Linked DNA regions of Nothobranchius furzeri. The protein of the gene in region 1 interacts with the protein of each later gene in a pairwise test. Links are inferred from orthologs where the notes say so. Each region holds a gene or a part of one and is shown in the gene's direction. Other genes may lie near its edges.

Region 1 (15,400 bases):
ATAACAAATAATTGGAAGATTAACAATCTAAAAAAAATCAGTATGGAATATTTTACATAATTAGAAGGTCTGTGGATTTGTTCTTACATATCAGGGAAATGACTTCAGAGATGAGTGCAGGAGACAGCCAATCGCCATACTCATCTCTATATGGCTAGAGTCATCACTTACACCTAACCAATAAAAAGCACAGACCCAAGCCTTCCCCTCTCAAAGCTGTAAATATTTATATCAGAATCAGAGGGGTTTTATTCCCATATGTGCAAGAATCACAACATTCAGAAATTGCTGTGGTACTTGGTGCAAGAAAGGAGAAATGATAAGTAAAATTAGAATGAATAAATAAACACAATGAAATGATAATAATATTGGGAGGCAATCATTAGAGAGGCAGCTACTTTATACAAGTCAGTGTAGGCACTGGTCAGAGTGGATCAGTTCAGGTAAAACAACACAGAAAGAGAGACAACATTCTTTTATGCAGCGCCTCACAAGAGAAAATCACGAGGCGCTTCACAAAAACAAAAAAAACAAAGCATAAAAAAGATTTAAAACATGATTAGAAATATGTTTCAAATGAGAAAAAAACTACAATTGTGATTAAAAATGTAAGGAAAGAGAGAAAGAAAATAAATAGGAAAGTGGAAAATCAGTGGATCCATGGAAAGGCGGAATAAGAGCAGAATAAGGAGAGGGTGGTGATGAAGGTCACACCAAAGCTTGAACAGGTGAGTTTTCAGCTGCTTTTAAAACGAGTCCACTAGGGCTGCAGCTATCGAATATTTTTGTAATCGAGTACTCTATCGAATCTTTTATCGATTAATCGAGTACTCTAATAAATTACCCTTTTATGTTTTTAAACCCCTATGTCAAATAGCATGTTATAAAATATGAAAGACCTCTTAAAATGAGCAATTCTTCAAGTTTTATTCAAAATTTGTTTTCAAAACTTCAGCATTTCAACTTTACTTCACAGTAAACAAATGCCTGTGCAAAAAATAAGTATACGACCTGAGCCGATTTTCCCCTCGTGTGAGAATCTAAAAACTAGGAGGATAACTGTTGAAGAGGCGCTGCGAGCGGCTGCGGCCCAAACAGCACCAGAACCGCTCACGGCACATGCGCAAACATGGCTCTCCAGCTATTTCCCTTTTAACACACGTCCGTTTTCATTTCTACACTTTTTTTAACACACAATAACAAGGATTGTCGAAAGCATGTTTGTCATGGTTATGTCAAATTATACTGATCACACAACATTTATTTGCTTTCTTTCGTTTTCCTCATAAATACCTGCATCCTTGTAAGGTTTGGGCCCAGACAGAGCCTCTGCCTTGTCACTCACTCAGGATGTTATCAGCTGTTTGTCAACAGAAGAAAACACAAGAGTCCAGGATGTTACAGAGCTCTGACTTTTTATCCTTTTTTTTTATGCAAACAATCCATGACATTGAGGCATGGATTCCCCTTAACAAGCAATCAACCAACACCAGTGCTGAATCCACCCTTTTAAAGCTAACTTAGAACCAACCATTATGACATGGGCAGGGCAAACAATCAGCTTGAAATCCTGCAATCAATAAAGTACATCTCAACAAAATATGTCAAACAATCTATTTACATATTTACCTCCTACCTTAACTCAAAAGAACAAAAACAACAACAACTGCACTTAAACAAACACAAGATAACCTCCTCTCCCCCCTCTCTCTTGAGTCATTTAGTTGCTTCCTCATTAGAGCTGATTAAGCACACCAGGAACTGATCATGGCTGCCTATGGGCGCGCTTCCATGGCAACACTTAAACAAATGACCTCAGAAGGAAAGGAGTGATGATCACCAATAAATCAAGTTAACTTAAAGTAATTTATAGATTACCAAGCTTATTTGACCTAACACACACACACACATACACACACACACACACACACACACACACACACACACACACACACAAACACAGAAATACAGGATTAAACAGAAACACGAGACATAACCATTAGTGAGGAGATAAATCCCTCACAGTCCTCCTGCAGCAATCCCGAGGGACGACCAACATCAATAGCAACACAATAAAAAGTCAGACGTGTTGTGTAAAAACTGCTATTTTTAGCACATTTTTAGGTTCGACGTGTCCGCTTGCAGAAGAGACATTTACATGTGGATGTTTCCTGGTCAGGTGCTGCATAGGGTTGGGTACCGAATTCTGTACTTTTTAAGGTACCGACCGAATTCCATAGAGCTCCGGGAGTTGACGTCACTTTTCCCAGCATGCAACAGTTCAAATCGAAACGGCGCCATATTGGCATGCAGAAGCCGGCAGCTGGACTATTTGTTATTGTCCAAAAACTCAATCAAACGGGAAATATGGTTGATTCCTGTTGTGCCCCAGGATGCAGAACAGACGCGGACGACATAAGGAATGAGCCATCTACAGGATTCCCCAAGATCCGGAGTGCCGCAAACGTTGGATCAAACAATTGTAATAAAACGCGCTAGTGACCGGGCGAAAATGAAACTGTGGGATCCCGAGAGTAAAGGATTTCGCTTATGCAGCGACCACTTCATATCAGGTACTTAAACCAACGTTTCCTCAACTGTGTATGGCATTTATTTTAAATGCTTTTATTACGATTCTTAGTGGGCTTCCTAAACTTATTTTGGCGTGGCTTTTTCTGTCTTATTACTCATAGCAACAAGTAAACATCACGTAAAACGTTTCCTCGTGAGTTCTGCGTGCTGCCGTTTCCGTGTTTTATGATCACAGCAATTAACCGGCTAAGCTGTATTTAATGTTTAAGCAATGGTTGATCAATTGTCAGATCACACACCGAGACTACTTACGTGTAAATCTGTTATTTGTCCGTCCATCCATCCATTTTCATCCGCGTATCCGGAGTCGGGTTGCGGGGGCAGTAGCATGACTTCCCTCTCCCCAGCCGCCGGAGCCAGCTCCTCCGGGTAAATCCCAAGGGGTTCCCCGGTCAGGTCCGGTGTTGTGCCGGTAAGAAGCCCGCTCCGACAGCTTCTGGCGTCGGAGCGGGCAGTAGAGTCGAGAGTCCCAGACCTTCTCCCCAGCTCCTCCGGCCGGGGGGATCCCAAGGGGTTCCCCCGGCCAGGTCCGGTGTTGTGCCGGTAAGAAGTCCGCTCCGACATCTTCTGGCGTTTTTAAAAAGTATCCCAGGGGCACGGTAAGGGTCGGAGATGTTTAGTCTATTTAATTTCTGACTATATAAAACGATTTCTTCTGTTTTAAAGTGTGAAGTAAACTCCGACGAAGTAAAATCCAAGCGGATCCCGTTCATGTTCATGGTTACATCCGTGTTTGTTTACCTTTTTTGCATGCCAAAATGGCGTCCACTAACTGAGAGTCACGTGGGGTCCGGAGCTCTATAGTACCGACCGAACACCGATTCACTTCATTTGAAACGGTGCCTCGTTTCGGTACCCGTCCTTCACAACGAGAACTTGCCTAGACAGCTGCGCATGCGCAAGAGCGTTATGTCGTCGGTCGCTGAGAGCCAGTTGTAAACAGAGCAGCATGGTAGAAAGAACGCACGCTAAAGCTTGGGTCCACTTCACTAAATGTGATGGGTAACTGGGTGATGATGAAACCAGCGACAACGATCTAAGTGAGACATCCTCATCTTAATCTGCTCCGGTAGGTAAATAAAATGTAAGATAACGTTAGCTTGATTTGTTAGCTTCCGTTTCGCTAATGGTGCATTCGCTTTCTCCTCGGAACTCCGAAATTCCGACAAGAAGAACATGAACGCACTCTAAAGTTTGGCTTCACTTTACTAAATGTGACGGGTGACTGGGTGAAGATGAAACCAGTGACAACGATTTAAGTGTGAGGCATCATCGTTTTAATCTGCTCCAGCAGCTAAATGAACTGTTTAAGCTAACGTAGCTTGATATGTTAGCTTCCATTGGCCCCATTGTTATCAGCTAATGGTGCGTTCGCTTTCTCCTCGGAAATTCTAACTTCCCAGTAGGAAAAATCAATTGAAAAATGATGGCAAAAGGAATGAAGATACACAGTAAATTTAGTTCACAGTAAAGATGTTTGCTTCAGTTTAATTATCAGCTTATAAAACTACAAGGACGATGTTAAAATACAAACAGTTGTATGTTATTTATCGTGATATTTATCAAATATGGTTATAAATTGAGAAAAATATATATTTAATAATAAAAGAAAATTAAAATATTAAACACTCAAAAGTATCGAAAATTGGTACCGTTAAGTACCGGTATCGATTCAAATGTCAAAGGTACCCATCCCTAGTGCTGCAGCATGGAGGATGTGGTGTTGTGGTAGGCTAGATCCATTTTACAGTATTTACACTGGACTACGTTTTCCGCCTTATGAAGAGAAAAATGGTCCCACACCTTTGACATTTTCTGTCTTCTTCGCACTCCTCCGAGGTCCACATTGTCCGCCATGGCTTAAGAGAAAGTTAAGTTATATTCGCTACTTGCGTGTGCATTCAGTGCAGTGTGTATGTACGTCACTTATTTTGGTCCGGGTGAAACATGACCCCGGGCGATTGCAAAACCAAGAATTAATTAAACATGAATTAAACGAATCCTCGAGGCAGAGAATTTGACTTGAGGCTTTTTTGTACTCAAATTTTTCAAGGTACTCGAGGAAGCGTTTCAGCCCTAGAGTCCACTGATCTCAGCCTCAGGGGGAGAGAGGTCCAGAGTCTGGGGGCCACAGCAGCAGATGATCTGTCACCTTTGGTCTTTAGCCTGGACAGGGTCAGTTGACTTAAACAAAGCAACTGAAGTGAGCAGTTCTACTGACAGAACTGCACGCCTCAATGTCCTGGAGGTGTACAGATCCTGTTTAGAGGAGAGTTTGCAGCCAGTGACCTTCTCAGCAGAGCACACACCATACTGCAGCCTCTTCATATCCCTCATGGTGGCTACAGCGTACCACACGGGGATTGAAGAAGTGAGGATGGACTCAATTACTGTGGTGAAGAACTGCCTCATCGACTCTACTGGACTCTACTTCGGCTGCCTCAGGAAGTACATCCTCTGCTGGGCCTTTTTTTTCTTTTGGAGGTGATGGTGGTGCCCAGGAAGCAACATGAGTCCACCATCATGATTGGAGTGTCAGACAGGATTATGGGGGGTGGGGGGGGGGGGGGGTGGGATGGGGCTGTGTGCTTCCTAAAGTCCACAAATACCTCTGCTGTCTTCTGTGTGTTTAGCACCAGGTTGTCGTGGCTGCACCAGGACCCCAGCCGGTCCACCTCCATTCTGTAGGCAGACCCATCCCTGTCCGAGATGAGCCGGTGACGGTGGTGTCATCTGCAAACCCAATTCTGTGTAACACGTGAATCAAAACACTAGAAGAAAGCTGCACAAAGACAGATGAACATTGAAACATCTAGATCATCATTAATTACCTTATTTGAGTCTGCTGCATACCACACACTCACACACAGTTTTTAACAATCAGCTGTAAATAAAAGATTCAAGACACAGGGCCCCCGCAAACAAACTGATCTCTCTCTCTCTCTCTCTCTCTCTCTCTCTCTCTCTCTCTCTCTCTCTCTCTCTCTCTCTCTTTCTCTCTCTCTCTCTCTCTCTCTCTCTCTCTCTCTTTCTCTCACACACACACACACACACCTCAGAGGCACACAGGAACGTGATGGTTTGGGAGAAAAGCAAAACTTCAAATAAAGTCAGCTATTTACGGAATAAAACAAATCAAAAGTAGATAAATGAAAATGCCCACCTTTCTTTTCTCTCCAACTTGTGAGACCCCAAACTTATACTTTTGAAACCTTCACATACAAACAGACATGAACACAGGACTATGGTTCTTAACCCAGTTAAAGTCATTTCTACAATCTCCTTAGATGCTTTCTCTTCTTGATGCATGCCAGTGATCTGACCCTTCTGAAACAGACTAACATATTTTCCACGACCACCAGGTGTGACTTTCCACATGGTTGTTTGAGAAATGAGAAGCAACTCACTGCAGCAGTTTGGATTAAATAACTTGTTTCCAGCTGAAAGACAATCACCCATGCAGTAATTATCCATTAACCCTCTGGAGGCAGGCGTTGCAGATTAGCAACGTTAAAACCTACCTACCTGGTTACTCTACATACGTATTTCATGAGCATTTTTTAACTCAGAAGAACCCCTGAAGGACTTAGTTGTTCCTCCTTTTATCAAAACTTATTTTGAGCCTGAGATAGATAAGAGGCTTGTACATTTTTTGCTTAGTTAAATCCAGGTGGTGACTATGTTATTTTCTGCTGGACAGTGTATATATAGTAAAAAGAATTGGTCCAAACACTGGACCCTGTGGTACTCCACATGTAACCCTAGAGTACAAAGAAGATTTCGCATGAGAAATCTGTCAGACCGATAAGAAAAATCAGCCTAGAGCTGTCAGTTCCTTTGGTCCCTACATGTTTGCGCCTTTTAAGACAATAACGTGAATAATGACTGTGTCAAAAGCAGCACAGATATCCAACAAGGCCAGAACAGAAACAGGATCCTTAACTGAGAATATCATTAGTGACTTTACTGATGTGGTTTCAGTGATTTAATCATCAAAAGTTTAACAAATAAAGGCTTGAAATATTTAACTTTGCATGTATGGAGTCCATGCCATTTATTAGTTTCACCTTTTAAGTTGAATTACTGAATAAAATTAACATTTGCACCATATTCTGAATTTTCAACTTTGACCTGTACTAACTCTGTTTTCATATTTTTGTTGAAACTGCTCCTGTATCAGTTAGACTTTTTTGCAACAGTTTTTTGTGTTAGCCTATAAAAATAAACACTGACCTGGAAACAGGGTGAAAAATTAGCTACCCATTATTCTAATTCATTACCAACAACGAGGCAATCCTCACAGAACATTATTAGCCAGTCTTCAAAGGTGAGGATCCTCCACACTACGTTTACTCCCACAATTCTTTGCTGTTCATGCATTATTACATATAAATATATACAATAATGTGAAATATTGTGAGGTTTCCCATTTAATTCTACTTCTGACCATTGAACGGTGATAATTATTCCAACATCTGAATGATGTTGGATAAAATTCACATTGGGATCTGGATATTTTGCATTTTTGCTCCCATTTGAGAGAGTTATGTATTTTCATAACCCTGAAAGACTCAAGCTGATGCGAGCATTAAACATGACCCATAAAAGTCATGTGACTGTTATTATTAACCAGTGGACTGTATTTTCCAACATTCTAACATAATTATAACAAACTAAATGGGTCTCACGGCCAGAGCGCAGCAGCACGTCAGAAGGTTGGTTTCTTGTTGTTGTACTCTCCACTGATGCTTATGTTTCTGTTGATTCCAGGTACTCGTGTAAGCAGTGCCCAGATTCTTACCCCAACAGCAGAACTGCCCCGAAAACCCACGCTCGCTCTCGCAGTTACACTCGCTCTTTGACCAGCTCACAGGTATTAAATTACGTCATGTCTGTGCATGAATTAGATGGAGCTTTGGGTCTCTGAAAGTGTGTTTCTAAATTATAAATGAATGCCATTCCTTTTGTTAACAGCTTATTGACATGTTATGAGAAATCAAGTTTTAGACGAGTCTAAAATAGTGGTGCAGTTGGTAGCACTGTGTCGTGCAGCAAAAAGGTTGCAGGTTAAAATCCAGGCTGCAGCGTGTGCGTGGGGTTTGCTTGTTCTCCCCATGCATACTTGGGTTTTCAACAGGTGCTCCGGGTTCCTCCCACTGAGCAAAATCCAAATTGTTAGGTCATCTGACTGCATCAAAAAGTGCATTTGTTACATATCTGGTTGGAATTTATTGCTTTGGATGAAAGTGTCTGCAAAACAAATAAATATAAACCTAATATTTGAACAGCATGAACGGCTGTGAAATGATGAAGATTGGAGTTGCACAATGGCACAGTCGGAAGCATTGCTGCCTTGCAGCAAGAAATTCCTGGATTAATTCCTAGCTGGTGGCCTTTCTGTGTGGAATGATTTCCCTGTAGGTGCTCCGGTTTCCTCGCAGAGACTAAAAACATGTATGTCAGGTTATCCGCTCACTCTACATTTTGCTCTAGGAATGTGGGTGAATGCCGCCTCAACAACAGAAGCACTGAACAGGGCCCATTCGGACTCCATGTGCCCCGCCTCCCCAGGAATGTTTTGGAAGTTCTGTCAGAGGTGGGTATTGAGGCTCCTTCTGACAGGAAACTCTTCCAGACATTCCCAGCAGACTCTCACAATATGTTTGGTCTGACCGGCATCCTCCCCCACCATCAGAGCCAACTCGCCACCAGGTAGTGGTCAGTTGACAGCTCCGCCCCTCTCTTCACCCACGTGTCCAAGACATGCAGCTGCAGATCAGATGAGATGACAACAAAGTCGATCATCGAGCTGCGGTCTAAGGTATCCTGATGCCAAGAGCACACATGGACACCTTTGTGTCTGAACATGGTGTTCATTGTGGTAAGTCCGTGACGAGCACAGAGGTCCAATTACAAAACACCGCTCGGATTCAGATCGGGGGGGGGGGGTGTCGTTCCTCCCAGCTACACCTCTTCAGGTCTCACTGCCGTTGTACGTGAGCGTTAAAGTCCCCCAGCAGAACGCGGGAGTTACTGGAAGGATCGCTCTCCAGCACCCCCCCCCCCCCCCCCAAGATCTCCAAAAAGGGTGGGTAGTCTCAACTGTAGTTTGATGCATAAGCACAGACCGCAGTCAGGACCCATCCCCCCACATGTGGGCGAAGGGAGGCTACCCTTTCGTTCACCAGAGTAAACAACCAACGTACAGTCCCACCCCTGCTCAGCTCCTCTCAGTGGGAGCAACTCCAGAGTGGTAGAGTGTCCAGCCCCTCTCAAGGAAACTGGTTCCGGAGCCAGAGCCAATCATCGAGGTGAGTCTGACTATATCTAGTCGGAACCTCTCAACATCACACACCAACTCAGGCTCCTCCACCAGCAGAGAGGTGACATACCACGTACCAAGAGCCAGCTTCTGTAGCTGAGGATCAGACCGCCAAGGTCCCCGCCCTCGACTACCACCCGTCACACACTGCACCCGACCTCTTTGGTTCCTCCCATGAGTGGTGAGTCCATAGGGAGACCCATGTTGTCTCTTCGGGCTGTGCCCGCACGGGCTCCATGGGTGGAAAGCCCGGCCACCAGGTGCTCTCCAACGTGCCCCACCTCCAGGCCTGGCTCCAGAGGGAGCCCCCGGTGACCCACATCCAGGCGAGGGAAAACGGTTTCCATGTATATTTTTCTTCATAAGGGGTCTTTCCTGTTTCTCTTGATTGTTGCTTATTTTGTACTTTTTTCGACACACATCTTCTCTTAATTTTCTCAAACAGAAGTGCTTGGAGCACTCAAGCCATCTGGAAAAGGTTGGCCATGAGTTTTGGTATTGATATCTCTAAAATGTTTTAAGATATACAATGTAACAATGCATTTTTAGTGGGGAAGGCCTTACTTTAAAGTCATGGTTGTCATAGTAACCAAGTGGATGGAGCCTAAGGCCTAATTTATACTTCTCCATCAGCCACATATCTGGTTCATGATAGTCTACTATTGTATTTACGCCATTTTAATGTATTTCAAGGACTTTTAACACAAACAAATTTGTCCCTCATTCTCCTCTTCCTCTTTCTGTGACCGACACCTCTAAACCCACATTTCTCGTCATTTCTGTCCACAAATAAAACACTTGCTGTGTATCTTTGTACTCCTTGAGTCGTGGGCGAATAAAATTTCGTATTGTCTGACTTCTCCGCGAAGCATTATTCAATCTGCCCCATGTCCCCTGCAAGGTATCTTTTTATTTTTTGTAGGGGCAATGGCCATTGACATTATATATTGACAATGGCGGTGCTGTTGACGAATTTACAGGAAGTGGCGTTTTGACCGATCCCAGGCTTGCGGTCTCCATCACTTTTGATGGATAGTTGAGAATTGGGGCATGTCTCTGTCACCCTCTGTGAGCCTGTCGGAGAGCCCTTGTGCTGATGCATAACGGCGTTGCGTGTCTCCATACCAACGCAGACAGAGAAGTATAAATTAGGCTTAACTTCAAAGGCACTGTTGTCATGGTAACCAAGAAATCATCATTTAAACAGCATTTCTGCTACAAATGCAACATGTCTAGTTATTTATAGTTTTTAGAAATGAATACGTTCAAAATGGCCTAAAAATCTGGTTAAAGATGTGATATTTAGCCATGCTTTTGTTTAACACACCTTTACCTCCCGATGTTGAGCTGGGAGACACGCTGAACCACCAGTTTGAGGCTGTTTGTGAAACTGTGTTCGGGGAGGTGGAGTCCCAGGCTGTGGAGGCTCTGGACCTTCCCGGTGTGTTCCGCACTCGCAGCCACAGCTACATCCGTGCAATCCAGGCTGGCTGCTCGCAGGATGACGACTGCCTCTCCGTCTTCTCCATGTCGGGCCCCCAGGGCACCATCAAGAGCGGGGCCGGTGAGTAGCATGGTCCACCAGCAGGCTGCATGTGTGTCAGAACAATGTACGATGGAGGGCACACTGGGTGAGGAGGGTCGATGACAACCTGTCAGTTTGGTTTGTTACACAAAGCTATACTCCTGCCTTCTACACAGCTGCATGTCATGTGCGGTGTCTGCACCTGTTTTAGATTTCATCCTCACAGCCTTCTTTGCTTTGCCGATCCCTTTTCCTGTGATGATCTGACCTTTCACCCCAGATTTCTCCTCCTATGCATTTGTGTATGTTCGCCAGCACAACACATTCTCACACCCTAAGCGTCAAAACATGACGCATGTGACCAAACGTCAAAATATGACGATCAGGGTGCCTCAGTGCGTCGGGAGAGGGCGCGCAGGGGCACGCAGGGGCACGTGTCACCGCAGGGATACGTGCCCGGCGCCCGTGGTGACAAGGACATTTCACCTCGAACCTCCAGCAATTTAACCTTCCCCTCACCCCCATCCTAACCTTAACTCAGTCATTTTCAATTAAGCTTTGCATGCGCAAGCTGGTTAAGGTTAGAATGGGGATGAGGGGAAGGTTAAGTAGGTCACAATTCGGTCAAACGTCCGTCTCACCGCGGGCGTCGGATACCGACGCTCTGGGACACCCTGATCGTCTTTTTCGACGCTTAGGGTGTGAGAATGTGTTGGCCATCAGCACAGGCGTATGTGTTATTGCCCATGCTTCTTCTTCACCTCTGTTTCTTCTCTTTGTGTCTCAACTCCCTCCCTTGTGTGACTGAAGGTTTCTCGGTTACAGTAATAGGTACAGCAACACTCATGGTTATGGTGATAGCTCAGCGTGCTGTCCTGCTTTTGTCTCACTCTATTTCTCTTCTTCTAACCCTCTCATCACATCTCCTGATGAGTTTATGCTAATGCAGCCATATAATCTCCAAGCCCTTCACTAGAAAATCCCTTTATGTGCTTATTTTGTTCCTACTCGGTGTGTGTTGGAAGGTGCCACTAAATTCCTAGATTTCTGCAAATGCTTGTTGAATTTTTTGAAGATTCTGCAAAGAAGCATTTACAGAAATCCCAGCAACAATGTGCTTACTGACAGTGTTGGGAGTAATGCGGTACAAATGTAATTAATTACCATGATGCATTGATTTTTGCAGTAATGTGGTAATGTAAGGCATTACAGGGAAAGAAAATGGTAATATTTACTCGGTACAATTGTCAGTAACACGGTAATTACAATGCATTTTTGAACCCAGAATCAAGATGTGGGTTTCCTAAAAATTCAAATTGCGGGAAGCCTGTAAAAAGATCCAGTATCCACATATATGACGTCATTTATGGACTCAGCTTTGCGGGCATTCTATGAGCAGAGAGGACGCAGCGGTAATGACTCAAATACTCCAGCTGCGTCCTGCGCGCGGCCGCTGTTATATTCACAAAATCACTCCACCAAAACAAAGTAATTCGATTACTATTGTTTATATCAGCCCATATTCTCTGGTACTTCATGTACTTTTCAGCTGAGTTCATAATCTGTGCGCCGGTGATTTCTACTCATTGCTGCTGGAGCGCAGTACATATTAAGCTTTTTATTTATTTTTTTGGCGTTCGGTAGATCCCTTTGGCTGATTAGTTAGAAAGTAGGAAATCTAGTAAACAGTTGTTCTGGAAGACAGAGAAAACATGCAGCATGCAGGAAGGTTAGAGAGAGAAAGGTCAGGAAATCATTCAAATAAAATCAAGAAAACAAAACAAAGTGCTTGAAAAGAAAAAACAAGTAGGGAGATTTATCCCCAATACACATTTTTTACCAGTGAAAAGCAATAATATATAAGCATTTAATATTTATACATGAGATAGAATCAGATCACCCCAGAAGTCACTCCCACATCCAGGGCCGTATCAAGGCATTTGGGGACCAAGGCAAATATAGGCTTAGAGCCCCCACCACCCCACTCCCTGCTCAGTTAATATAAGATGGCAGCGTGCTGAGAGTACAGATTGTTGTTGCTTTTATTTAATAAACAATCATTTTAAAGCACTGTTATTATATCTGACTGTTTTTAACAGCAACCCTAGCTCAGACACCACATCACCTTCCACATATATGTCATGAGCTCACTGAGCGTCACATTACCAGATTCATATTGAAGTCGTATTGGTGAAAGTAACTTAAAGTAATGCAAAAGTAGTGTAATGCCTTACATTTTAAAATCAGTAATATTGTAATGTAATGAATTACTTTAAAATGAGGGTAACAAGTAATAAATAATGCATTACAGTTTTGAAGTAACTTGCCCAACACTGCTTACTGACATGATGTTTGCACACAGGAGGTCACAGCTTCAGATAGAATCCTTACTGTCCTCCAGAGATTGGGTTAAAGAGAAGATGGCTCAGTTTGTTTTCAACAGACTGTTTCATGTTCGTGTTCATTAGAGGTTTTCTTTTGTCACTGTTGAACTTTTTATATTAAAGCTTTAATAAGCAGAGTTTTAACAAAGCGAGGCCACATTAAAGTCAGGTTCATAACTCTGTGTCACGTTTTGCACCAGCCTGATTCATTAAATGTTCTTGATGTTCCCTCTCCACCTTCCTGTGCTGGTTCTCCTTTCGTTGCTCTTTTACTCCCTGTTACGTTCTTCTTTCAGCCTGTTCTTTTTGTAAGTACCCCCCTTCCTGTGGGCATAATTTACTTTTAACTGTCTTATGCAACTCTGTCTTTTTTCTCTCTCTTCCTTCGCTTCAGTCTTTCCTTATCGTAAAGGTGCTCCTCCCCCACTCCCACCTCGCATGTCAAAGTCTTCTCTCTCGGTGCGAGCCCAGAGCAGTACTGAGTCCACCCAGGATGCCTACTTCCAAGGCAGTGGACAGATGGCTCCGGGCTCAGGCCCCGGGCGTCCCAAGCAGCACAGTAACTCAGTGGACTTGGGCAGCGCAGATGGGCTCTCAGGTCGGACCTCCAGTAGAGGCTACTACACGGCCAGTGGACCTGGTCATTCCCGCCAGCACAGCAACTCTGCAGAGAGCCTGGATGGAGTCAGGGGCTCAAGGGAGGTGGTGCCCTATTATGGGGGCCCAGGGATGGGTGTGAGGGCCAAACACAGCTGCTCAGCTGACAGCCTGCTGGACGGTCTGCCAAGACCAGTGAGGGAAAGGGACAGTAGGGTGGGGGGCAGTCTGGGGAAGTCATCCTCTCTTCCTCAGAACAGCATAGTACTAAATAAAGTGGGGGGGCAGGATGACGGACGTGGCGGCAGGAAGTGGACACCTTCCATCGCTGTGCAGGTGAGATTTATTTCATAAACATCAATCTGTCTCTCTGTGATTTATTAGAATAGTCTAGTTAGGACCTTCATGGAACACCAGCTATATGGCCATGTCGATGGACTACACAGAACACAAAGAACTATGATAATACTATTCTGCTCTCATATTTTACTAGGCAGTTAACCGTCATCTCATGTGGAAAACACACACAAAAGGTTCGGTAAAATGTATGTGAATGTAATTGTTCTGTGTTGTTTACAACCCAGTAGATGGTACTTGTACATTTTTAGTTGTCTTCTACATCTGAAAATAGAGAAAGTTTAAAACAGATTTATAAGTGCTGGTCAATAAATTAGAATATCATGACAATCAAAAAGTGAAACTTGTATGTTAAATTCATTCGTTACACACAGATCGGTGCATTTCAAATGAGTATTTCTTTTAAATTGGATGATTTTAACTGACTAATGAAAATCACAAATTCAGTATCTCCGATTATTAGAATATTAAGGGATATGCAAAAAAGGAATTTCAGAAATGTTTGTTAACTGAAAAGTATGAGCGTGTGCAGCACTCAGTGTTTAGTTTGGGCTCCTTCGGCCTGGATTACTGCAGCGATGCAGCGCGGCGTGGAGTCCATCAGTCTGTGGCGCTGCTCAGGTCTTCTGAGAGCCCATGTTGCTCTGATGGTGTTCCTCTTCTGAACTGCTGGGTCTGGCGAATTGCACCTTCTTCTTCACAATACCCCGCAGATATCACTCATCCACTTTTGCACCAAAAACCATTGCATTGTATGTAAAGACAGCGGTTCTTTCATCTTTTCTTAGTTCGCAGACATAGCAAAACACCAGTGTGGCAAATCCTCTTGATTCTAGTTTCTTTTCTTATCTTCAGTCTGACTTTGTGTTGCTGCTTTTCTGTCCCAGGTGGACAGCTCAGAGTCTCTGTCAGACTCGGACACGGAGGGAAAGGCCCTTACAGAGGTGCACTCTGTAGGAATCCAGGTGGAAGATGAGAAAAGGTACAAAAACGAAGAGCATCGCGATTCTGACCTGTAGAAAAGTAATCATCCACACAACTTCATGCCAACTTGAATTGTTTTGCTTGGCATTTAAAGTTTCTGTCATCAAAGGCACAAGCTGCAAACTCAGAGAAGTGTTTGTTTATTTGCTATTTTCTCTTTCCTCCAAAATATGTATCTTCATCAAGAACTGTTGGCCTTTGCGCAGTAATTTATGTGAATAATTAGAATTTATATTCTTCGTTCCTGTGCGCCCAACAGTGCAGCCGCGCACGGCTGATTTGTCTTCTTGATTTTATTAATTTATTTAACATTTCATCAAGCATCACAGCTTGAACTCAGAGGGGGGAAAAAAGCATCATTCCTCTCTGTTAGTGAGTGTAACCATGACGACAGCAAACCATGCACCCAACTTCCCCTAATTATAGCCAGAATTTTTGTAGGTCAGATTTTACATGCATGCATGTGAATAGTCCCAGACAATGATAAGTGTCTGAGTACACCCTTCCTCGCCCGGGGGTGGGGGGGGGGGGGTTAAGTCTGGGCCACACCAATAAGGGGATGGTGGGGTACAAACTTGCACCAGTTCAAACACTCATCAGTGAGCACGCTGACATGACATTTCCACAAACTGAAGATTT
Region 2 (15,400 bases), on another chromosome or scaffold:
ACCCATAAACAATACGCTATAGGGGGAAATGTGGGTTTTGTTTTAAGGGTTCATAATCATTACAGTTCCAAAATATCTGAATTTTCTGGCTATTTTTGATGGGTTGGGTCTTCGTTAATGACTGACACAGAGTAAAAAGACCTGCATAAATCAGGAGATAGAAGAGAGAAAATGGTTCTGATAATAGCTTCTCCCTGCAAGTGACGGAAAAAACTCTGAAACGACGCCGTCATAAATATGAGAAAACATGTCCCTGAAATGTTGAGAGGCTTTATCATTAACGCCTAGATGTCAGGAAGTTCTCATCTCTGTTTCTGATTTTAAGATCATACCTTTAAATTTAGCATCAGTGACACTTTAAGCTGCATTTGTCTCAGAAATCTCAGGAGAGGTTGAAAAGATCATCACTAAATGCTTTCCTTTCCCTTCCCTCAGGGCTCTGTTTGACTATGATAAGACTGCAGACTGTGGCTTCCTCAGTCAAGCTCTGGGCTTCCGGTTCGGGGACGTTCTCCACGTGTTGGACTGTGGAGATGAAGAGTGGTGGCAGGCCCGTAAGGTCAGCCCGCAGAACGAGGCAGAGGAGGTCGGCTTCATCCCCAGCAAGCACAGGTCGGACCTGGTGTGTGTGTGTGTGTGTGTGTGTGTGTGTGTGTGTGTGTGTGTGTGTGTGTGTGTGTGTGTGTGTGTGTGTGTGTGTGTGTGTGTGTGTGTGTGTGTGTGTGTGTGTGTGTGTGTGTGTGTGTGTGTGTGTGTGTGTGTGTGTGTGTGTGTGTGTGTGTGTGTGTGTGTGTGTGTGTGTGTGTGTGTGTGTGTGTGTGTGTGTGTGTGTGTGTGTGTTTCAGCAGCTGTTTTAGAGACTTAGTCAATAAAATGCTTCATCTTTCTACAGGGTGGAAAGGAAAGAGTGGTCTCGGGTTAACACCAAAGAGAGGGTTTGTTTACTCACCCGTGCACTCTGAATGAGGTCGCTTCTCTTAAACGTCTGAGAGTTAATCTGAGTTTGGTTTCTGTTTACAGGACCACGGGCGAGACAACGTGGGCACTCAAGGTAATTAGTATAAACACAGACGTATAACATCACTAAAGGCTGGCTGATTTTCCCTGATTTAGGCTGATTACTGCAGTGATTCAGAGGTGGAAAATACAACACAATCAAAGGCAATTTCACAAATCATGCAGACATTCAGGAAATGAAACGTTTTAGAATAATAAAGACAGAAAGCATAACGGGAGAAAAAATAGTCAAGTTTTAAAGTGACAGTGTGTAGTTTTCTGCCACTAGGGGGCAGGACATACATTTCAGGGTAGTTTTACACCATATCCCCGTGACTGTTGCTAGTTTAAAGTAAATGTAAAGTAATGTTGTTACCTGTGGAGCAGAAAGCATGCAACCTCTGCACGGCTGCTCAGACTTTGATGGTCCTTCAGTTCATTCCGTCGAGAATGCAGTGTTGTTTGTAGTTTTTCTGGCATTGTACTTCACAGATCTGCTCGAGGTTCTGCGCCTGCTGGTGATGTCATCATACTAAAGCAATACCACTCTTTTTCAGTTCTGTTTTGTCACATCGGTTTTGGACAGAGTTTAGCAGTTTTGTTATTAAAGAGAAAATTGCAGGTTATTTTTTTTCTTATTCATATAAAATGCTGCCCAAAAATACTATTTGAAATGCTTATTGTGGATATTTTGTTGTAAAATACACAACAGCAGAGTTTTCTAGTAAAAAGTGGCCTTTCTCAGCAAAGCTTCTAAAAAAGCTCTTTTTTCTAAATCTGAACCTCTGACGTGACCAAAGGGAGTTAGAAGCTAGGCGCTGCCTCAGCTCAATGTGGAGAGTGGCTGGTTTTAGTTTAGAGAGGTCATGTTATCCAGTCAGTGTGTGTTTACGAGTTTTGGATTGTGTTCATTTAGATAAACTAGAGTCTGTGAAGGCTGTACCAGCTCCAGCCTGTCTGGACATCGAGTCCACGGGTTTCCAGATAAGAGAAACAACGCCTCTATCTCTGTGCCTGAGGGCGTTTCTGCAGCTGAAAAGACGGACTTCTGTAGCCCACATCGGTCAGTACCGGGACAGGGAGGTCCACGCTGGGCTCTAGAGACCCGTGGTGGGGTTAAAAAATTAAATGTGGCTTTCTGGAGCTCATATCCCCATCAGAACCAGGTCAGAACCGACCACCAGAAGAGACACTCGGCTCAGCGGGTCAGCTTGTTTCTGGGTCGGAACCGGATCAGAACAGCCGCCTGGACCTCCAGGAGAGGATGCACAGCTTTTAAAAATACCAGCTGGACCGGCTCGCTGGTGTCTGGGTCAGATCCAGCTCACAGAAGCCCACCTGAGCTCCAGAACCGGATGACAGACGTGTCTCTCCCTCTCTAAGCACTAAACTACGTTACGTGAACGGATATTACCGAGTATGAGACAGCTGACAGACGCTCATTAGTTTATTATTGTCAAGTATTAATATTGCATTAATTGACCAATACTATTGTAATTGTCTGATACATGATAGTAATCTGTACAATATTGTGATGTTAGCACATGAGTTTAAGCTAACATCGTTAACTCACCTGCTGCTCCCCAGCTACTTCTCCCCAATCTCTCTGCTTTGACTGATGGTCTCTCCCTCTGGTTTGTCTCTGCCCTCTGGGGCGTGCAGCAAACTCATAACTTCATGGGTCTGGTCCATCAGAAGTAGAATTATAAACATTTAAAGTTTCGTCTGTGTCAGAGCCGCATTAGAGTCCATATTTTTCTCAGGACTCCCTCAGCTGACGTCACTTGGTTTGGCCAAAATAAAAAAAAACTTTCTCACAGAAATGACTCTAAAAGCCTAAATAATTTATGCATGTGTAAAAAATGTTTTAAACCAGTTTCTATTATGTTTCTCTAAACATTGGTTCATGGTAGTTTCTAACCTGCAGTTTGCTCTTTAACTTTGTGTTTCTTACTGCCTAAATGTTTGTGAACTTGGTATCGTAACTTCCATAAGTCATACGTCCAGCCAATCTAGTGTTTACTAGACAGGCACCTCGACAGGCGAAGAACCCCGAGCAGGCCAGAAGAAAACACGTCTAATATGGCGTCCCCAAAGTCGCTAGACCCACGATAAGTACTTGATTTTATGGTTTCAATTATGATAAGAAGCCGCCAATATTCAACAACTGGACATCATTTTATTCATTTTCAACAACATTTTGATGGATATTTCCAGAGATTAATGGTAAAAATACATATTGTCTGTTTAAATCAGCACTTCTTTTGTTTTCAGCATCCAAGGTAGTTTTTAAAATGCTACCATTATCTAAGATAAATGTTATATTAAAGAAAATCTGTGTAAAAAGAAGTTTTCTTTAAATTAGCTGATTTTGTTACACATCAGAGGCCCATAAGCAGGATTAGTGTTTTTAGTGAGGTGATTTCAGCTTTAACTCCACAAATAATAAGCAGATTAATGTTCAGCATCCATGTAATAATGCTACTTCCAGACTGATCTTTTTAAATATTTTGTTTCTCAGACAACAAGCTTCTTTTTTTTGTGTGTTCTTAGTGTGTGAACATCTGACCAGTTTCATTTTCCCAGCTATGTCTTATTTAGCCTAAAACAAAATGATTCACCCAAAGCTCGTTCCTGTTGGCCTTTACAGTTTTAGAACCATTTTCTTTCCTTTAATAAAATGACTGATTTATAAAATAGCTCTTTTCCATTTCCTGTGACTCATTTGGATGCTCACTAAACTTTTTGGTTTTCATGTTTGCGTCTGCATTCATCCTTTCAACTGTTTTAACAGCCAAGTTGAACCATTCAACACATTTTTAAAACCATTTAAAAGCCAGGATGACAGAAAATGAGCCTCTGCAATAAATCGGTTCAGTTTGGGATCATTTATCTGTTTGTAAATCTTTTAGTGCAAAGTCACATCTGTCTCACGTTTCTCAGAGGCAGCGCACATTCAGCAGACTCATTTAACATTAAAATACACAAACCTAACTAACCGTCACATTCTGCTGATGCGTAAATGATGCTTATCCATTCTCACATTTATACGGTCAGCATCTGTTTCGGCCAGCTTCCTGTTTTGCCTGCTGCAGCTGTGATGCTTCGAGATGGATGGAACAATTTGACTATTTGTGTTCCTTAAAGGAGTGAAATAATCAACAGCAATCCAGGACCACAATTTGCATTCACATGCACAAAGAATGCCTCCAACATATAAGCTAGCAGCTATTCAGGGCATATGAGTGATGCACACGGGCGTGACGCCAAGCTGAATCTCATTTCTAATAAAAAAACGATGTGATGCTGACTGCCTCTGTTCTGTCACCAGGGAGAGATAAAACCCCCCACAGTTATGAGACAGTTACTCAAGTGGAAGGTAAGACCCTGCAGGAGCGGCGGCTGATGGCTTTAATATGACATTTCATTTTTGTTTTGATTTCCCTTATTCGACTGATCCCACTCTCTTTCTCCTTCCTCTCTCCTCATGACAAGTGCATTACGCAAGGCCCATCATCATCCTGGGTCCGGTGAAGGACAGGATAAATGATGACCTGTTGTCCGAGTTCCCTGATAAGTTTGGATCTTGTGTCCCTCGTGAGTAATCACACGGTCGCGCATAAAGACTGATCTGCACAGTATTTAATTATTTTTTATTATTATTATATTTATATTTTGCTGGGGGGGCACCACCTGCAGCATTTCTAGTTTTCATTTGAAAATGAGCATATGCATTCTTTTTATTGTTCCCTTCTGCTCCCGACAGACACCACGCGGCCCAAGAGGGAGTACGAGGTGGACGGGAGAGACTATCACTTTGTGTCATCCCGGGAACAGATGGAGAAGGACATCCAGAGCCATCGGTTCATCGAGGCAGGACAGTACAACAGCCACTTGTACGGGACGAGTGTGCAAAGTGTCCGTGAGGTGGCCGAGCAAGTACGTAGGAATGATGATGAAAAGGAAAATAATACGTACCGCTTGATTTCTAGAGTGCTTTTAACGCGGCTTTACAACCGACCAAAGCGCTGCACATGGTAAAACAACACAAGCAAAAAAGGGAAATGGAATCAAACCACTAAAACAAAGTCAAACCACAAAATGCTAATTCACGGATTTAATATTGAAGTATGATGGTTGCTTTATGGTTTAGGAGTTGAAGGCCAGGGAGAAGTAGTGTGTTTTCAGGTGTGATTTAAAAATGGAAATGAGTCCTGGGAACCCCCCAAGGCTCTTTACAACACAAGCAGTCATTCACCCATTTACACACACATTAACACGCTGGTGGTGATGAGCTACATTGTAGCCACAGCTGCCCTGAGGCACACTGACAGAGGCAAGTCTGCCGTACACAGACGCCAACTGTCCCTCCAACCAGCAGGCAAGGTGGGTCAGGTGCCTTGCCCAAGGACACAACGACAGCAAAAGACTGAGCGGGGCTCGAACCTGCAACCTTCTGATTACGGCAAGCACTTAACTCCTGTGCCACCGTCGCCCATAAAATAGAGGGCACTTGTCTGACCTGGAGAGGAGGTGCGTTCCACAGTTTTGGGGCACAGATGGAAAAAGCCCTTTCCCCACAGGTCTTCAAGCGTGCCACAGTGAGGAGGAGCTGATCTGCAGAGCGTGAGGAGGGTGGTAGAAATGGAGGAGTTCGCTTAAATAGGGAGCGGTCTGACTGTTCAATGATTTAATTACAAGAAGCAAAATTTTGAAATTGATCCTGAACTGAACAGGCAGCCAATGGAGTGATTTAGGTTTGGGTGTAATGTGCCGTCTTCTGTCAGCTCCAGTCAGAAACCTTGTTGCTGACGTCTGGACGAGCAGCTTTACGGATGCCTTACAAGCAGGAGTTGGAGTAATCTAGCCGGGATGTAATGAAGGCATGAATCACCCATTCTGACATAATGATTATTATTACATTTTATTCATATATGAAGTTATGAAATAGAAAAACACCTTCTTCACTCACATTTGATCAGACTCAAGGATGTTATTTAAACCTGAATATCAAAATTCAGCACATCAGCTCTAGCCTCCAACAGCGCTTTCATTTGTTATGACACCAATGATCAATTTTCCCCTAAAAAATCCTCACGACCGTGTGTGTGTGTGTGTGTGTGTGTGTGTGTGTGTGTGTGTGTGTGTGTGTGTGTGTGTGTGTGTGTGTGTGTGTGTGTGTGTGTGTGTGTGTGTGTGTGTGTGTGCACAAGCAGCAGGGGAAGCACTGCATCCTGGATGTGTCTGCTAACGCTGTCCGTAGACTACAGGCAGCTCAACTTCACCCTATCGCCATCTTTGTTCGGCCCAAGTCGCTGGAGAATGTTCTGTATGTATTCACAACTCCTCAAATGCAGCATCAGCAAAAACGTGCTATGGCAACAACTGTGTGTGTGCGTGTGTGTGTGTGTGTGTGCGTGCGTGTGTGTGTGCTAACAGAGAAATCAACACTCGTCTGACAGAGGAGCAGGCCAGGAAAGCGATGGACAGAGCCCTCAAACTAGAGCAAGACTTCCTAGAGTGTTTCTCAGGTGGGAATGCTGTTATCACAAAGATGTGACTATTTTACCCATTTGGCTTTTGTATTTAATTTCGTAGAACATAACATTTACACTCAAGTGTTAAAGATCCAAATAGCCCTGAAGCTAAAGACAAGTGGGAGGTAGATTACACCAGATGTGATTTGGTAAAAATAAAATAAAATAAAAAATAGATTCACTGTTTTGTTCATTTTTCTTCTGTTTTGTTAAAAATTTGTATAAAAACAAACTTCTACTAATAGAAATCCTGATCCTTCCAGCATATTTTTACAGATTAGCAAACTTTTACAGTTTAAAGTTGAACTTGATAAGTTTTCCAGTTCGCCCTTTACTGGTTGGAACAACAAGCTAATGCTAACAGATATTAAATAAGCCTTAAAAGAAAAAGATCTACACTGCTTGACAAAGCAAATATCATTACTTACAAAGAAGCTAGGTCACCATCAGTCTGTGATTTCTTATGTTTCCAATGTTCACTCTAGTTTAGTTCCTTGCTTCCCCTCTCAAAAGCAAACTGGTAGCCTTTAAACTAGCTACCAGCACAGTAAACAGCTATTGCCGTAAAGGTTGGTTTATGCTTGACGCATCTGCGAGGTCCGCACGGCTCCGCGCGGCCCAAAATTTCCGCAACGCGCACCTAGGAAATTTTCTAACCACGCGGACGGTCGGACGCGGAAAAACATGGCGGACTGGCAGAGGTTCGTAAATACAGACATTTGTATGATTCAGCTCTCAGAGATCACCGTGATCAACATGTTGTTAATAATTCTTGGAGAGAAATAGCTCGCACTGTCGGAAAAGACGAGGACGCTGTTAAAAAATGCTGGAATGCCATGTTGTAAACAGTAATTTTTACTTCTACAATGGTGTAGTGTTGGATGCATGCCATAGAGCTCCATGCTGCCCCATTCAGTCTGGGAGAATACTGGCTCACCGCAGAGATGAGCCGCATGAACCATAAACGCTGCGAGTTGTAAAGCGCGTTCCAGCCACGAGCCGCATCACCAAGCGGAAAGTAAATGCGTCAAGCATAAACCAAGCTTAATGCAAGCAGAGACAGCCCCCCCCCTCCCCCCACTAGTGTTCCTGTCCAACCACAAAACTGTTAAGTGCAGATTCCGGTCAGCAGAAGGCGACAGAGTGCTGTCCAATGTGAAGCTGGTGAATGTTCTCGCTCAAAACCACTGAAACCAGTTTGAAAACAAAAGTGTTTAAAGTGTTAAACACTATCAATTGTTGCTTTAATAGATTTTAATCCCAAGGCATGGGATATTTACGAACAAAAACATGCAAAAAGCACAGAACTTTAAAACGTCTTCCTGAGAGCATTCATGTGGACCATTCAAGTTAGGCAAGAACATTCTGTAAATGTGCACGTCACCCATGATCTTTCATAGAGTTTAAGATCATAATAGCTGTTTTGGTCAGATTTAAAACTAATTTATACAAAATGTCTCCCAGATCTTGGAGTTCATGTGTTCTCTCAGGTCAGACGTTTCTACAGGAAGACAAAAGCTGTTTTGGTTACGTAAACTTTGGCTAATGCACATCAGAGCTGCTGTTTTAAATCACCGTTAGCACTCAGACGTTTAGCACTCACGGCGCTTCTGTTAGGTACGCTTCAAGCTTCATTCATCCACTGATTCATGACTTCCTCCACCCTGAATGAGATGAACGCTTTGAGTCCCACCAGAGTCTTCTGGGATAACTCAGAGATTTTTAATATTTTAGAGATGCATTTAGGGCACATCCCAGCAGCAGATCTCTGACAGATCCAGTGCTGTCTGCGGTTTCTACCACATGCCAGATTGCTGTGGTACGTGACATTGTATCAGACACTGAAAAAGTAAACAAGTTTCAAAATGTGTGGAAACATTTGTAAAAAGATTTTTTTGAATCATTTTTCTAAAAAGTTGCTCCCTAAGTTGTCTACCAAAGGCATCCTTTAATCTTATCATTTTTCTGCCTCCTTCCTTCTGTCGCTGCTCGCTCTTTGATGATTTTCTTCTCTTTTCTCATTTCCTGCTGCAGCTGTCGTGGACGGGGACAGCTTTGAGGAAGTTTATCATAAAGTAAAGACAGTGATTGAGGAGCAATCGGGGCCTTACATCTGGATCCCCACCCGGGAGAGGCTGTGATGCTGCACCCGGCCGACCTCCCCTCACTCTCCTCTCCTCCCCCCTCCACCCTCAAGGCCGAGCCAGCCTCGCCCGCCTGCGAAGTCCTCCAGCGAAGTCGGCGCTTAGGCTGCAAATGACACAGAGACAAAAACAGGAAGTGACCCAGTGAGACAAAGAAGGATACCAAAAACAATAAATGAAGGAAACAGAGACTTTATGACTCGTGTAAACACACTGATGTGTAATTAAACTGAAAGAGACAGAGAGAAAATATTTATCTGTATTCCACTTTTAATGAAGTAGGGTTCAATACTTGAGGCCCAGTTCACGATCAGCATTAAAGTGTGTTTTGGCTGTGACTGCACCCTTTAGTGATGCTTATATAACGTGCACATACATGCATCTAAACCCAAATACACAATCAGATGCGTTTCCCCTCCTGATATCAAGTAAATTCATTGGAAAACAGTTCGATTTGAGTTGAATTTTCAAGCCAGGTGTGAACTTCGGTCCTTCATGTAGATCTTTAATCAGTCTGTGTTTGGATTCCAGATGTTAGAGGAGAGGTCAACACAGGAAGGTCGGAGATCACCTTTACAGACCACCATGCAACAATCCTCCTGCAAGATCCCCTTGGCTCTCTGTCTTCCACTTCCTGTTTGTTCTGCCTGGTTTCAGAGCAGGGTTAGGGTTAGCTGGTTTCAGAGCAGGGTTAGGGTTAGCTGGTTTCAGAGCAGGGTTAGGGTTAGCTGGTTTCAGAGCAGGAATGTTGGCAGATTGGGAGCAAAGCAGGATTCCCTTTTCACCCTTTTTGAGCTGTGGTTCCTGAGGAGAAGTGCCTCAAAATCCAGGACTCACTTCTTAAATAATTGAATGGATTATTTTAAGGCAGTTCAAATAATTATGTTTAAAAGTCAATATGATGAATTTGTGCATGCTTCCTCAACAACAAAGGAGACGAGAGCGATGAAGAAAGGCAGACGTGAAGGGTTTTAGCATGTCTCGTCAAGGTAGAAGAGGCTGGCCCCGAGCCAAATCGATGCTCTGATTTACAGTTTAGCCTCTTACGCGCACATGCTCACACACAAACACAGTCTCACACTCGTCCAGCAACACGCACACACACCCCTCTTGCAGTAAGAGCAGGGGGAGACCGGCTGTTCTGACCCGCTTGTCAGAATCCAGGATGAATGTTATCTCTTTAGGCACAAACAGCTTAACTTCACCGCCGGTCACTCTTCCAAAAAGATCCCCCTCAACCACAGACGTACACGCTGTTTGCAGTGGCCACAGCAAAAGCCATTGCATTTGTGTGCGTGTGTTTGTACATGTGTGTGTGTGTGTGTGTGTGTGTGCGTCTGCAGACGACTGTGGCGACTCCTTTCGCGTGGAGGGAATAGGTCTTCTTGTATTCTCTCTCTTCCACTTTTCCCTGCATCTTTCTCCCTCTCAAGTCCACACAAATTAAAGCTAAATCATGTTTAAAGAAAGAAAAAATATCCAAAAAAATCCATGGCCTATATATATGAATATATATATAAATATTTATCTTTTTTATGACAATTTCTAACAGGAATAAGTCTGTACAAATCAACATTTCCGAGCAGTTTTCTGTTGATTTATTTGGGTGAAATTGCTGTTTTGGTTGTTGGATTTCCTCATAGACACATTTTATTGTTGTAAAACACAATAAATGCTGAACAGAAAGGAAAAAAAACACATTTAAGATGATTTAGAGAAGACCTCAGACTCAAGCTTTGAACTGACATCTATGACATGTTCTTGTTTGAAAAAAAATACATGTGCAATGCAGCTGTGTGTCTCTGTGTGACTGTGTGTGTGTGTGTGTGTGTGTGTGTGTGTGTGTGTGTGTGTGTGTGTGTGTGTGTGTGTGTGTGCGCTTGTTTGCTGCCTGTGCGAGTGGTGAGAAAGTGTGTGTCGTATATAAATTATAGATGATGCTATAAGTGAAAATACATCCTTTCTTACAGCTTATGGCTATGATGTATAAAATGTGTGTGTGTGTGTGTGTGTGTGTGTGTGTGTGTGTGTGCGTGTGTGTGTGTGTGTGTGTGTGTGTGTGTGTGTGTGTGTGTGTGTGTGTGAGAGAGAGAGGGAGAGAGACACACACACATATGAAGATGTAGTGCAATACTGCTATGATGTTATGCAATGAAGATGGATTTATGTGTAAGATTTTTAAAAAGGGGTATCTAAAAAGTTTGCACTGGTGGCATTAAATGCTAATATGAGCAGGAAGGGGGCGGGTGAAGACCGATTAGGAGCATGCATTTGTATTAACTTCTGTGTTCTGAATTATAAGAGTGAAGGTTTTGATGGCAATCACCATCCATATTTACTGATTTTCTTTATTTGATCCTCTCAGCATAACGTGGAAGCCAAACATGTGACAAAAATCTATATTTTTTTGTTTTCTGGTTTATTTATTTTAAATTGTCACTTGTCCATCCCGAGTTGGATTTTTTTTTTTTTTTTCCCCACATCGAGAAAGCTTTTGGGTCTCGGCCTGCAGACGATGTAAATACAAAGTTGGGTTTCCATGTGGATTTAGGGTCAAAATGCTAAATTCAAGCAAATAGAAGAAGCCATTAAGAGCTACAGCCCAGTTTAAATTACATGTACACTCTGGGTGGGCAACACACTCACGCACACACACATGCACAAACAAAATAGCATGTGCACATATGCGTTTACATCTACACACCAATGGAGTCCCAGAGAATGTGCTCATGAATGGAATAATATGTTTTCAGTTTCTTTCTTTGAGGGTTCGGTGTATTTCTTAATATCTCTCTCAGCCATCCGTATCATAGTGTGATATTCCTTATAAAGTATATGAATTTTTACAGAAAAGACTGAATACAAAGTTAATGACAAAGTCAACTGATGCAGAAAAATATATTCAATAAATAATGACAATATGAAGCAAAATAAAATGTTCCAGTTCAGTGAAGCGCTTGTTGTAAATTAGCTATAAAATAATAAAATTAATTTAAAAATGCTTTCTGAAAATGGACTCTGATGTCTTCTTTTGTTAATGCAGTTCTACGTTTCCACGTTGGTTTGATCCCTCACGGCTCCACAGGTGGACGTGGATGGGCAGTCGGACCAGAAGAGGGTGCTCCATCTCCATCCTCAGCTGCTTACACAAGCTCAGCTGTTTTCAGCAGAGTTGCTCTAGTTTTTTATTTATTTTTTAGATGACGGCTTTCCTGGTGAAAAACCCCTTCCTCCTCTCCTCAGGGGAACCTTTTTTTTCTTTTTTTTTTTTTTTTTTTTGCTATTAAGCAGAGACTCTTGATGATCCTTTTGCCTGATTACATGCCTCATATGTCTGTGTGGATGTGTAGGTGCTCAAACTGTTTTCACAGCTTACATCAGTTACAACTGGTGGAGGCTAAACGGGTCATAAACATGCTACAAACATACCATAAGCTTTGATTTCTTGTTGAATTGCATCTCTCTCTTTGGCTGTTTGGAGGCCTGTTTAAGCTCTCAGAACTCCAAATTAATTCAAAACCTGAGGTTTTCTTAGTTTGACTCAGGGAATCAGAGCACCCATCCCACAACTGCTGCCTGGTTTCTAAGCAGCCAACCTGTTGCTTGGAGCCATGATGAGACGACTTCCCATCTTTCAGGCTGAACCCCTGTGGCTCAACCACCAGGTAATCAAGCCCAGTGGAGGTCTGGCTTCAGGAAACTTCCATAAGCAAGGTATCCTGATTTAATGTGATCTTCTTTCATCAAGGTGTTCATTATTGTCCTACTCACACCCTTCCTATGAGACCTGTGTCATGATGGACCCTTTAGGGCAGAGGTCCTCAAATAAATGTGTTCAAGGGTCAGAGATGTTTCCAGCAGACACAGTGAGAGCCAGTTCAAGTATTACTGTATCTTAATTTATTAATATTTAAAATGGTTTTGTTTTCTATCTAACGGTGGCACAGGAGTGCTTGCCTCGTAATCGGAAGGTTGCAGGTTCGTGGACCACTCAGTCTGTCACTGTCGTTGTGTCCTTGAGCAAGACACTTAACCCACCTTGCCTGCTGGTGTTGGTCGGAGGGACTGGTGGCCCCTGTGTACGGCCGGCTTGCCTCTATCAGTGAGCCCCAGGGAAGCTGTGGCTACAGTGTAGCTCATCGCCACCAGGGCGTGACTGGGTGAATGACTGATTGTGTTGTAAAGCGCCTTGGGGGGAGGGTTCCAGAACTCTAGAAGATGCTATATCAAATACAGACCATTTACCATAAACTGTTTTGATTGTAGTTTTAGTTGTATTCGGAGAACATAAACAATTGTTGATATTTGGGACATTCATTTTGCTGCTAAACTTCAGCAATTGGGGGCCGTTAGAGCCCAAAGTGCTGGGGCTGGGTGGAAAGGTCTGGCGCCTCTGGTGAGTCTGGGTGAGGACCTTGAGGCTTGGGATATGGGGGCAGTCATCCCCGGATGTGGATCCATGCTGGGCCTGGGGAATTGGGGCCTTGCTATGATGCTGGTGGAAGGGCGGGAGCATGGGGCAGTGCCTGGCCCTGGCTCCGGGCCTTGGGTAGACCTTGGTACCTTCTGGCAGATGCACTTATATTCCATCATGGAGGAGGGGGATGTCCGAGAGAGGGAGGATCCAGCTTGACATGGGTGCCTTATGTCTTACGTAGTCTGGAGGTTGGTCAAATGTGGGGGTGGGCGTAGATATTCTGCTGGGGTGGGGCTGAGTGGGTGGCCTCAGTCTCTGTGGGGTTCTGTGATGCTGCTGTTTTGGGCTAGGGCTAGATGGACTGGGGTCTCCATGCTCCGGATGGGTTTTGGGAATGAGGGTGCATATTGGTTTCAGCGGGGAGCTGGCTCCCCGGAAGGCTTAGGCCCTCCAGCTTTTTCTTCTAACTATATATTATTTTTTTGTTGATGAGACAGTTTCTTTAGAAATGAATGAACTAAACTGTTATGGTCATGAATTTTATTGTGTCCATAAGAATGAAATTCCAGGAATTATGCCACTTTTATACTGAGCGCGATACAGATGCATTCTTGGGGTCCGTGCGGCTTGTGGACAGTCTTCCACCTAGCCCAGAAACCTAGACCAACCATAGCAGTAGGTAGAGTTTGCACTGCGGGTTGGTCACATTATCTGCTTCAGATTTATTTATTTATTACAGATTTATTAATCTGGTATAATTCCTTAGACATGTCTAAAGTTTGAATATTCTAGTCAGCATCCATATAAAACCTATTTAACAAGCTTGAGTGAACTTCTTGTATTGTATAAAACAAGTATAACATGGTAGCAATTTTCTGTTGTGTGGAGGCGCAGAATAAATCAGATCATCCATCTCTTTGAGGCCGATTCCTGCTGCCTTTTACCAGCTGACAGTGACATAGAGAGTGAAACTGGGGGACTGGAAAACATCCATCATGGAACAGGAACAAAATCTGAAGCTCCAAACTGGTGAGGCTTTCCAGCCACTGGGTTCCTCCCACCCACACGACTCTGCTATCCTCCACTCAGTCATTATGTCTGATCCATACACCAGGCCCTACAGTGAACCTACCCACTAACTGCTGCACGAACGTACAGCTGGGCCATTGAGCAAAACGGACCAGAAAAAATTTAATTTCTTCATAATTAAAATACAAAATTATTACAATCTTTGAAAATTGTGAAATGTTTTATTTCACAGATGCTAAAATGTGTAAGCATCTTCTCTCACTGCCAGGGGATAGCGTAGTTTTAAACTAATGAGAAGTTCAGAGTAAGCACACAGAATAATTAACGTATGCACGTGATTAGCATCAAATTACACTTCAAATATGGAGAAGAAAAGAGATGATTGGTCAAACAGTTTGATCGCACTGGTCTGATGTGATCTGAGTCATTTTCATTATGTGCTGCAGTCGATTCAGCAATCTGTTTCAGCCGCTCTCCACAGAGCAGCCGGCTGAAGCCAGAGTAATACCTCTCTTTGTGTACTGCTGGGGTCCAGAGCTGCAGTGACAGAGGAGGATTTGGATGAAAGAACAGCTGGCATGTGTGTCATGTGAGGGTTAGAAGGAAGACTCAGCTGAGAATGATTTCAAAGTAACCGCAACACTTCTGAACTTCAGTGGCTGTGTGTAGAAAAAGCGCTGAGGCATCTCAACGCGGCATAAGCACTCCCCAGGTCTCGGCTGGCTGGAGGGCGTTCTACCTGAAACGCTCCTGGAATCCACTCCTCAGCCCCGACCTCAGGACGATAAATGTTAAATTCTGTCTCCGGTCATCCAGAGGAAAACGTTCAGTCAATATCGATGTTTATTTTATAATGTGTTGCCTTTGCAAACTAAATATATATTTGTGTCTCTCCACTGCCAAACTGTCAGACTGATGCGTCGATATTTGTCTGAGCAGATTTATTTCTTTATTAAAGGCAAGCCTCTTACAACCAGGAGTCCATCCAGTAGGTAGATTTTGTCTCTGGAGTTTCCAACCCATCGCAGAATAGATGGCGTTCGCAGCAGACCTGTTTCGGTAAGGCATTTCTTTTCCACCACCAAATACGTTGACAATAAGCAGATGACTGTCAGCATCATTTGTTACCTTAATTACAGCATGGCAGCTACAGCCTGAAGAGCAGGATCAAACATGGATCTTCACAGCAGCACATTCATCTTCGGGCGTTCCATCTCAGCGTGCTCTGGTTTTATCTTGCTCACTTTCAAGTCCTCTTCTTCTACTCTTCCATCTGT

The links.
Region 2: the proteins of dlgap3 (region 1) and disks large homolog 4 interact in a two-hybrid assay, tested with the Homo sapiens proteins (2 studies listed by BioGRID and IntAct). The link is inferred for Nothobranchius furzeri from reciprocal best matches to the Homo sapiens genes DLGAP3 and DLG4.

The regions. Positions count from the first base shown.
Region 1 is NC_091751.1:28,425,313-28,440,712, reverse strand, and holds part of dlgap3 (disks large-associated protein 3), read left to right. Parts: intron 1-7,362; coding exon 7,363-7,465; intron 7,466-10,261; coding exon 10,262-10,478; intron 10,479-13,217; coding exon 13,218-13,756; intron 13,757-14,664; coding exon 14,665-14,759; intron 14,760-15,400. UniProt on the Homo sapiens protein: May play a role in the molecular organization of synapses and neuronal cell signaling. Could be an adapter protein linking ion channel to the subsynaptic cytoskeleton. May induce enrichment of PSD-95/SAP90 at the plasma membrane.
Region 2 is NC_091750.1:46,514,396-46,529,795, forward strand, and holds the end of disks large homolog 4, read left to right. Parts: intron 1-435; coding exon 436-612; intron 613-892; coding exon 893-935; intron 936-1,020; coding exon 1,021-1,051; intron 1,052-4,327; coding exon 4,328-4,375; intron 4,376-4,491; coding exon 4,492-4,593; intron 4,594-4,762; coding exon 4,763-4,935; intron 4,936-6,212; coding exon 6,213-6,325; intron 6,326-6,435; coding exon 6,436-6,527; intron 6,528-8,567; coding exon 8,568-8,674; 3' UTR 8,675-11,689; downstream 11,690-15,400. UniProt on the Homo sapiens protein: Postsynaptic scaffolding protein that plays a critical role in synaptogenesis and synaptic plasticity by providing a platform for the postsynaptic clustering of crucial synaptic proteins.